Danio rerio: one gene and its partner. The protein of the gene in region 1 interacts with the protein of each later gene in a pairwise test. Links are inferred from orthologs where the notes say so. Each region holds a gene or a part of one and is shown on either strand. Other genes may lie near its edges.

What was found. The genes of interacting proteins can lie anywhere in the genome.
Region 2: the proteins of nudt21 (region 1) and rbm48 interact in a two-hybrid assay, tested with the Homo sapiens proteins (2 studies listed by BioGRID and IntAct). The link is inferred for Danio rerio from reciprocal best matches to the Homo sapiens genes NUDT21 and RBM48.

The regions. Positions count from the first base shown.
Region 1 is NC_133193.1:24,124,154-24,128,112, reverse strand, and holds the start of nudt21 (cleavage and polyadenylation specificity factor subunit 5), read left to right. Parts: upstream 1-1,158; 5' UTR 1,159-1,284; coding exon 1,285-1,403; intron 1,404-3,721; coding exon 3,722-3,922; intron 3,923-3,959. UniProt on the Homo sapiens protein: Component of the cleavage factor Im (CFIm) complex that functions as an activator of the pre-mRNA 3'-end cleavage and polyadenylation processing required for the maturation of pre-mRNA into functional mRNAs.
Region 2 is NC_133194.1:42,804,408-42,808,681, forward strand, and holds the start of rbm48 (RNA-binding protein 48), read left to right. Parts: upstream 1-1,466; 5' UTR 1,467-1,543; coding exon 1,544-1,669; intron 1,670-1,805; coding exon 1,806-1,996; intron 1,997-3,848; coding exon 3,849-3,994; intron 3,995-4,078; coding exon 4,079-4,274. UniProt on the Homo sapiens protein: As a component of the minor spliceosome, involved in the splicing of U12-type introns in pre-mRNAs.

The sequences.
Region 1 (3,959 bases):
AACTGTGCAAGGTTGCGGCCCTCCAGGAACTGAGTTTGACATTCCTGGCTTAAAGAATGGCAATAATTGATCACATGTTTAGCAAAATATGCAAGTGATTCAGTGTAGGCTAACTTGTTGTGCCTCCAACACAGGTAGAAAAGAATTCTGACCCAGATATGGCATATATCTGGCAGGGCAGGCATTTGTCTGGCACTGGCATACAGCATGTAGGCCAAACATGGCCCTGGTTTGGCAGAGGTGGCACCGTCTTTAAGACGGCACACAATAGGCCTACTCGGGCCAGATGTTAACAATTGATATATGAGCCATGAACGTTAGGCTTATCTTGACCCACATTTAAAATACATTTTTATTATTTTCAAATAAAGAAAAAAATTCTACCAAGTACCAATCATCGCTTCGAGAAAAAGCAAGCCCATAGCATGCCTAAAGCGCAATGATCCCTGAGTATATCAATTTCATTGCAGACGGGATACAAAAACATATCTGGTGAAGTTTAGGCTCAGTTATGGGTTATTAACTTGTCTGAGACTTGGCCCAGATATTGTCCATGTTTGGTCCTTGTCTAAAAGCCAGAATTGGTCCACTCATATACCATAATTTACTGCCGCAAGTGGGCCAAGCAAAAGCTGATTATGTGGGCCAGATATTTTTTGATATGTGGGAATAGCACCGACTGATGATGTTTTAAAAACACCAAAGGTCCGTATAAAGTATTAAAAAAACTGTTCTGTTTACATTAAAGCAAAAATTAGGCTACGTATACACAAAGCAATCTTGCAAACATTAAATGGTAAAATTCCCTAAATAACTATTACAGGCTATATAAGTGGTTTAATTGTTACTGTCTTTTTCTGATTAATACATGGTTTAATAATCTAGTTTGGACATTTCTGTGGTATTCTTGTGTTTGTGATGTCAGGTTAACAGACACCAAAACACGCCTTGTAGCAGGCAGAAAAGTGTAATAAACAACCACAAACCCTCTGTTTGAAGGGTAAGGGTTTGAATCGTGTCTGGACTGTTCAAACCCACTACTTATAATGTGGAAAACAACTCTTGCTCATAGATCAGATGAGAAAAATCTGAAGAGCCGAAACACACGGTCGTAACACAGGAAGTAACCCAATGTCCCGGATGTGCTTTCACAGCAGAGCGCCGTATTCCAGTTTTCATCGAGCGCCAAGGCTGTGCAATTCAATCACAGTAATAAAGTAATCAACGTGGAAAAAAACGCGATTAGTGCAAATATTAGGAAGTGATTTAATAATCCGTCATACGATGTCAGTTGTACCTCCTAATCGATCATCTACCGGTTGGCCTCGAGGAGTAAATCAGTTCGGCAATAAATACATTACCCAGGCGACTAAACCCCTCACCCTGGAGAGAACAATCAACCTGTGAGTAACTTGAACTTAAAATTCAACACTACAAACGATATATGCGATTACTTAAACAAGCTTTAATGGTTGTAAATCCTAGTGCTGCTGCATTGTGCCTTTCATGTCAGTACGTTAGCATTGTTAGCGTTTGACCATGGCAGACTACCGTAGCTTCTTGCTGCCAGCTCTTGTTTGCATGCGTAACAATACAGTGAAATATTCAGAGTTTTGTTTTTTATGTGGCAAAATGCATGCACATTTATGGCAGTGTGTACATATGCAGGGATATTGAAATATAAGAGTTCGATATAGTTCTTATTAGTTTTGTATTCCATATGTTGCAGTTAGCATTGTTCTCGGTGATTTATCCTAGGGCTCTTTGCACATTTATTCGAAAATATCACTAACATTAGTCGACAGGCGCAATGTTATTGAAATGTTATTTGATTATTTGTGGTTTATGGTGTTATTTGTTATTATTTTGGTGTAACGTTAAGTATGACTTAGAAATCAAACAGTCGAATTCTTGAGCAAGTTACGTAAACAAATCCCAATCATTGATTATATTGAGTGACGGTAGAATTGTTATTATAATTGTTGATTTTGTTAATAACGCTAACCTTATGCCAATGTTAATCAAATATTAATATGAATGATCTTTAATGTAAATTCAAATTTGATATTGAAACCCTTATTTGGGAGTATTATTTTTAATTTGTACAAAAAGCTGTATGAAAACACAATGGAATGAAACGCCCATAATAGGCGAGCACAAGATCCAAATTACACTTTGTATAAAATTAATAAATGATTGCTCTTTTAAAGGTAGGACCTGTGAAATAAAATAAAAAGTAAAAATAAAGCTTTTTAGATGTTAGTTTTGAGGATATCTATAAGCTAGTGTGCTCAAACAGTGACTCAATTTGCGTTATAAGATATATACACATCTAAAGCCCGCAGTTTGTCACTTCCGCCTAATCTATGATTATTCATAGGTCACTTCATGTTTTACTTACTCACCAAATCTTGACCAATCAAATGCTCTCTAGTATGTGAGCATAAACCCCACCCCCTGCCAAGATGGTTCTCATTTGCTATTCATTTGATGCCTTAAGCTCAAACACTCTCATTGGCAGAGATTGTTTGTGATAAAAACAAAACGCTATTCTCTGTTTTTATTTTCTAAAGGGGAGGAACTGCCACCATTTCATTATGTTTCAGTTGAGATTACCTCAAACATGGAATATAAATGCCCATTTCAAAGCACTTCACAAAACCTTTAAACATTCAAAATACCACAGATTGGTAATGCCTTCTGGTCAAAATTAGAGCAGCACAATATTAGGGAGAAATTACCAAGTGATATTTTAATCCTCTGCGATGTACATTGCGATAATTTTACTAGATGAAATGAGTAGGTCTATTCAAAAAGAATTCATAATTTAGGTGATTTATTAAGGGAGTGATTTTGCAATAATATACAGTAACAAACCAATCACAAGCTTTGATAAATACAGTTGGGAATCTGGCATAATTCAGACGCACAGATACATGAACCATTGGATTTTAATAACTTTTTGAAATAATTATGATGAAATGCATCCTCCATTACATAAATTGTGACTTTTTGTGACCCCTTGATATGCAACCACTTATTTGAAAACAAGATTCTTAAAGGTTTTGAAGCTTTATGGAAATTTACATGACTAGCGGCTAGGGCTGCACTGTATTTGAAAAATCTAACATTGGGATATGTTTTTGTTCTGTGACATAAATTGCAATATAAATACAATTTTACAAGCCTATTTGGAAAGAATTAGAAATTTTAGATTGATTGGGATGATTTTGTAGAAGAGTGCATGCATAAAAAAATAAGAAACAAGCATAGAAAAATTCAATAAAGAAAAATACAAATTACATAAACAGTGTTTTATTGTTTTTGAGGAGTCAAACTGCATTTAGGTGTACAGTAAATGATTAATTGTAAAATAAAACAAGCAAATTCATCATTATTATTTTTTAGTTAAAAGCTGTACACATGCTGTTAAAACCCTCACACAATCACAGGCCTCAAAAACACTTGAAATATTGTAAATTATAACCCAGACTCAACATTGCATATACTCGTGATTTGACTATTGCGAATGTTCACATTGCGATATCAATGCTGAAACGATATATTGTGCAGCCCTACTACTAGCGGCCACATACAGTGCTTGCCATCTTTTTTCCCTCATTATTTTGTTATGATGCTATGTTTTGTTTTGCAGTGTGTGGATTATTAAAGCTTTATCACACCTCAATTTAAATGAAATAACATGTTTGTTTTTCCAAAGATACCCTCTTACAAATTACACATTCGGCACCAAGGAGCCGCTCTATGAGAAGGACAGCTCGGTAGCCGCACGCTTTCAGCGGATGCGGGAAGAATTTGAGAAAATCGGGATGCGGCGGACTGTGGAGGGTGTTCTGATCGTGCACGAGCACAGACTCCCTCATGTTCTGCTACTTCAGCTGGGGACAACCTTCTTCAAACTGTAAGCTATAGATTGTGTGTTGTGGATGTGATGAATT
Region 2 (4,274 bases), on another chromosome or scaffold:
GCTGCTCAAAGCCTGTATCACAGAATGATGGGGAAAAGAGGAACCTCGTGCTCCTTTCTGTCAAGAATCTGTTGTCATACCTTATGAAATAGCAGCCTATGATAAAACCATTTTATAAAACGGATATGTCCAGTCCTTGCTGCTGATTGGTCATTAGCCGGGTTTTAATTACAACTACAGTAATGATCTTGTAGCAATACTGTGCAAACATGTCCGTGTGTTAGTATTAATATTTATTAAATGAAATATGAGTAGCCCCGCAAAATGTATGTATACGTTATTCATTTATTTAATATGTGTGTGTTTTGGGGTTAAAACTTATCCAGCTGCAGATATACACACGTTTCAGGCACACACGATCTAAGTTAGACGGGTGTTAATGTTATTAACCTCTTCTCGGACATCATCAATATATTTTACACATAAGGTTATTGTTAATATGTATTGTATAGGCAAACACTGTAAACAATAATGCATAGGCATACCATTTCACAAATATAGCGATCAAGACGGGCGAATGGGGAATAATCACCATTCAATATAATACACTGAACAGTTTTCCATCAGTCATCATAGATGATCAGTCATTATTTATCTGACAAAGTCAACATAGCAGATTCTCGTTTGCTCAAACATTTTAAACGATCTAATTTGGACAGGTTTAATTTATTTAATGGATGCATAATGAATGAAATATAGCTAATGTACAGGATAGGCTAATAGCCTACATCATTATATCAATGTAATGTACAAATCTTTTTACATTTAATAAATGTAAAACACTGTTAATCTTTTACTCCAGCAACTGAATAGTATATATTTGCTTAATTTTCTAATAATTTTTATAATGATCTCCCACATTAAATAGGCCTACTAGTAATTTATAGTAATATATTGAGTTCACCCCAAAAAATCAAATGGGCTCACTATTTACTCAGAGGTTCAGGTGGTTCCAAGCTTTTCTGAGTTTCTTTATTCTGCTGAACACAAGAGATGTTTTGAAGAATGCTGAAAATAATTATATGGAAGTTTTGTATTATATGTATTTTTAAAAATCCTAATTTGTGTTAAGAAGAAAGTAAATCAAAATGGTTTGGAACAAGTCAACAACCTAGTAAATAATGACAGAATTTTCGGTTTTGAGTGAACTAACCCTTTAAATGGGTAAAAAAAGAAGCTTGTTTTAAACGTTAAAAACTTAAAATAAATTTATAATATAGTTTATAATTAATTCGTCTGCATTTATAATAGTTGCGACATTTTCTGCGAGTTAGCATCTTACAATTTTGACTTTTGTCCAAATCTTTTTGATATTTATTTTATTTTGTTAGAAGTGTTTATCATAATTTGGATGTGTAAATGAATTATTATTATAATTATCATCGTCATTATCATTATAATATTTTTTTATCACCATCATCATTATTCTTCTTAATATTATTTTTATTAGCATCCTTTTGGGAAAGCGGGCTTTTATTTATTTTTTCTAATTGGAACTTTTATTTTGAAAGCCTGTTTTTTTTCGTCGCTGATTTCCACAGTGATGGACGGGTCAGTTGCTAGTTCCTCTGTGTGGGACACACAAAAAGTGTATAAACATCACGAGCAGCAAAATGTTGCCCAAACGCGACCAAAATACAGAGAAGGAAGACGCCTCAAAGCTGTTAAGGTCGGTTTATTTTATAAATGCCTTTATCTCATCGAATTGTGCAGCGTCAATGTAAGCAGTCATGTTGTCTTTAAGGTCTCTCTCACAAGAACTGAATCTCTGCTTATAAAAATAATGGCTGAATCGCTAATTTTAGGTGTACACCATCAACCTGGAGTCTCGGTATTTACTAGTTCAAGGAGTGCCCGCTATTGGAGTGATGGCTGAGCTGGTGCAGCTGTTTGCTCTGTATGGAGTGATCGAGGAGTACAGGCCACTGGATGAATACCCAGCAGAAGAGTTCACTGAGGTTTACTTAATTCAGTTCCAGAAGTTGACGAGTGCACGGTAAGAAAAGGCTGATTAAATCATGTCCCATGCGAGTCTGTGCCATATATTATATATTGTGCCATATTTTTCTTGTTGATGATATAATTTCAGAAAAGTATTCTTTGCATATTCTTAATAGTGAATCAAATTAGCAGCTAGTGACTATCAAAGTTCAACATTGTTCACAGTCAAATAAATAGTGGTAATGCTGATTTGAAGTCATACTTGCATGTGATTTCAAACCCAATATTAAAAGTACCATGGTAAACAATATAGGGAGCATGTCACAAGTTGTCATTGAAAGAATGTGTGAATCTAAAACCATCCTTACCTCAATGTACCATGTTGGTGCACTGCAGAGTCGCATTCACTTTTAGTTAAAGGGATAGTTGACTCAAATACTGTAACAATAACAATTTATTCACCCTCAAGTGGTTTGAAACACAAAGGAAGATATTTTGAAATCTGGAATCCAGTAACCATCAACTTGCATAGTAGGACAAATAAATAGTATTGAAGTCAATGGTTACCGGCTTCAAGCTTTCTTTAAAATATCGTTTGTGTTCAGCTCAGACGATGTTTGTGACATGTAACGGGTGAGTAAATGATGTCTATTTTTATTTTGGAGTGAACTGTCTTTGTAGGTTCCACAAAATGTGACTTAAAACATTATGATTCATTATTAAAATATTAAATAAACACATATAGAAAACTATATACAGTACACACACTACCATACAATTGTTTGGAGTCTTCCATTTTGAAAATGATTTTGAAAGAAGCATCTTATGCTCACCAAGTCAGCTAATATTTTTTTAACTAAAAACAAAGCATCAACAATCGGATGTATTATTACATTGTCACATTTTCTATCTTGTTTAAAAGTGTAATGTATTGTGTTGAGGATGAAGGGTAATTTTCATGCTTGGTACTCGCATTTATACATGGTTATTGTCACATGACTCTTCGGAAATAATTAATTTGCTGATTTGTTGTGCAGTATATAATTTCTAATTATTATCAATGTTGTAAAGTTGCACAACTTAACATCCAAAACATCTAAGGGTTTTTTTTTTTTTTGTTCAAGATTCTTTAATGTTCTTTAGTGTCTCTTTCTCTTTAATAACACTGTAAATCTCTTTACTGCCATTAAACATTTTAAGAATATTATAAAGAGTATTTATTGCTGATAATTCTATAAATACTTTTTTACATATTTTTTCCCCTCTAAACCAAAGCAAAAATCAAAGAATAATTATTTCAAATATATGGAATTAAGTAATCGTAGTTATTTTAATTATATTTTAATAAAACTATATATTTTTAGGATAGTGTCAAAGTAAAAATAGCTGTACTGGGATTTTTAAAAATATGCCTGACAAAAATTGTTTTTCTTATAAACTATTGTTACACTGAATGACATCCACTCACCGGCCACTTTATTAGGTACACCTTACTAGTACCGGGTTTGACCTCAGAACTGCTTTTATCCTTTCTGGCATGGATTTAACAAGGAGCTGGAAATATTCCTCATTAATTTTGGTCCATATTGACATGATAGCATGTCATTGAGCAGATAGGATGGATCCATGCTTTCATGTTTGAACTGGAGCAGATTGTCTCGACCATGTACATGCATAAATGAATTGAGTTGCTTTCATGTAATTGGCTGCATAGAAATTGGTGTTTACGAGCAGTTGGACAGGTGTACCTAGCAAAATGGCCAGTGAGTGGATATTGCCATGCTATATATATATATATATATATATATATATATATATATATATATATATATATATATATATATATATATATATATATATAATTTTTTTTTTTTTTTAAATTAATTAATTAATTTATTTTTTTACAGGGCAGCTAAAAGGCACACAGATGAAAAGAGCTTCTTCGGGGGTCAGCTGCATGTCTGCTATGCTCCTGAGTATGAAACCGTGGAGGAAACAAAGCAGAAATTACAAGACAGAAGGAGATATGTTAACTGGGCAAGCCGAAATGCAGGTATGGTAATGCATTGGTATTCTCTCTAAATAAATTGCATGTGTAGAAAGTCTAACAACTATCATATGCTTATTTTGTTTTCAGCACAACTACACAGTCAGCAAGCGGAAGTAAACACAGAGTCATCATCAAGCACAGACACACGAACAGCTGAAGCTCCTAAAATGCAGAAAAACCCTGAAGAAGCCAGAAGGGAGAACGTAAATTCTGACTATATGGGATTTCCTCTGTTGCCTTTGCCTCCAACAGCAGATATTTCTTATAGACTTCAAAATCATTT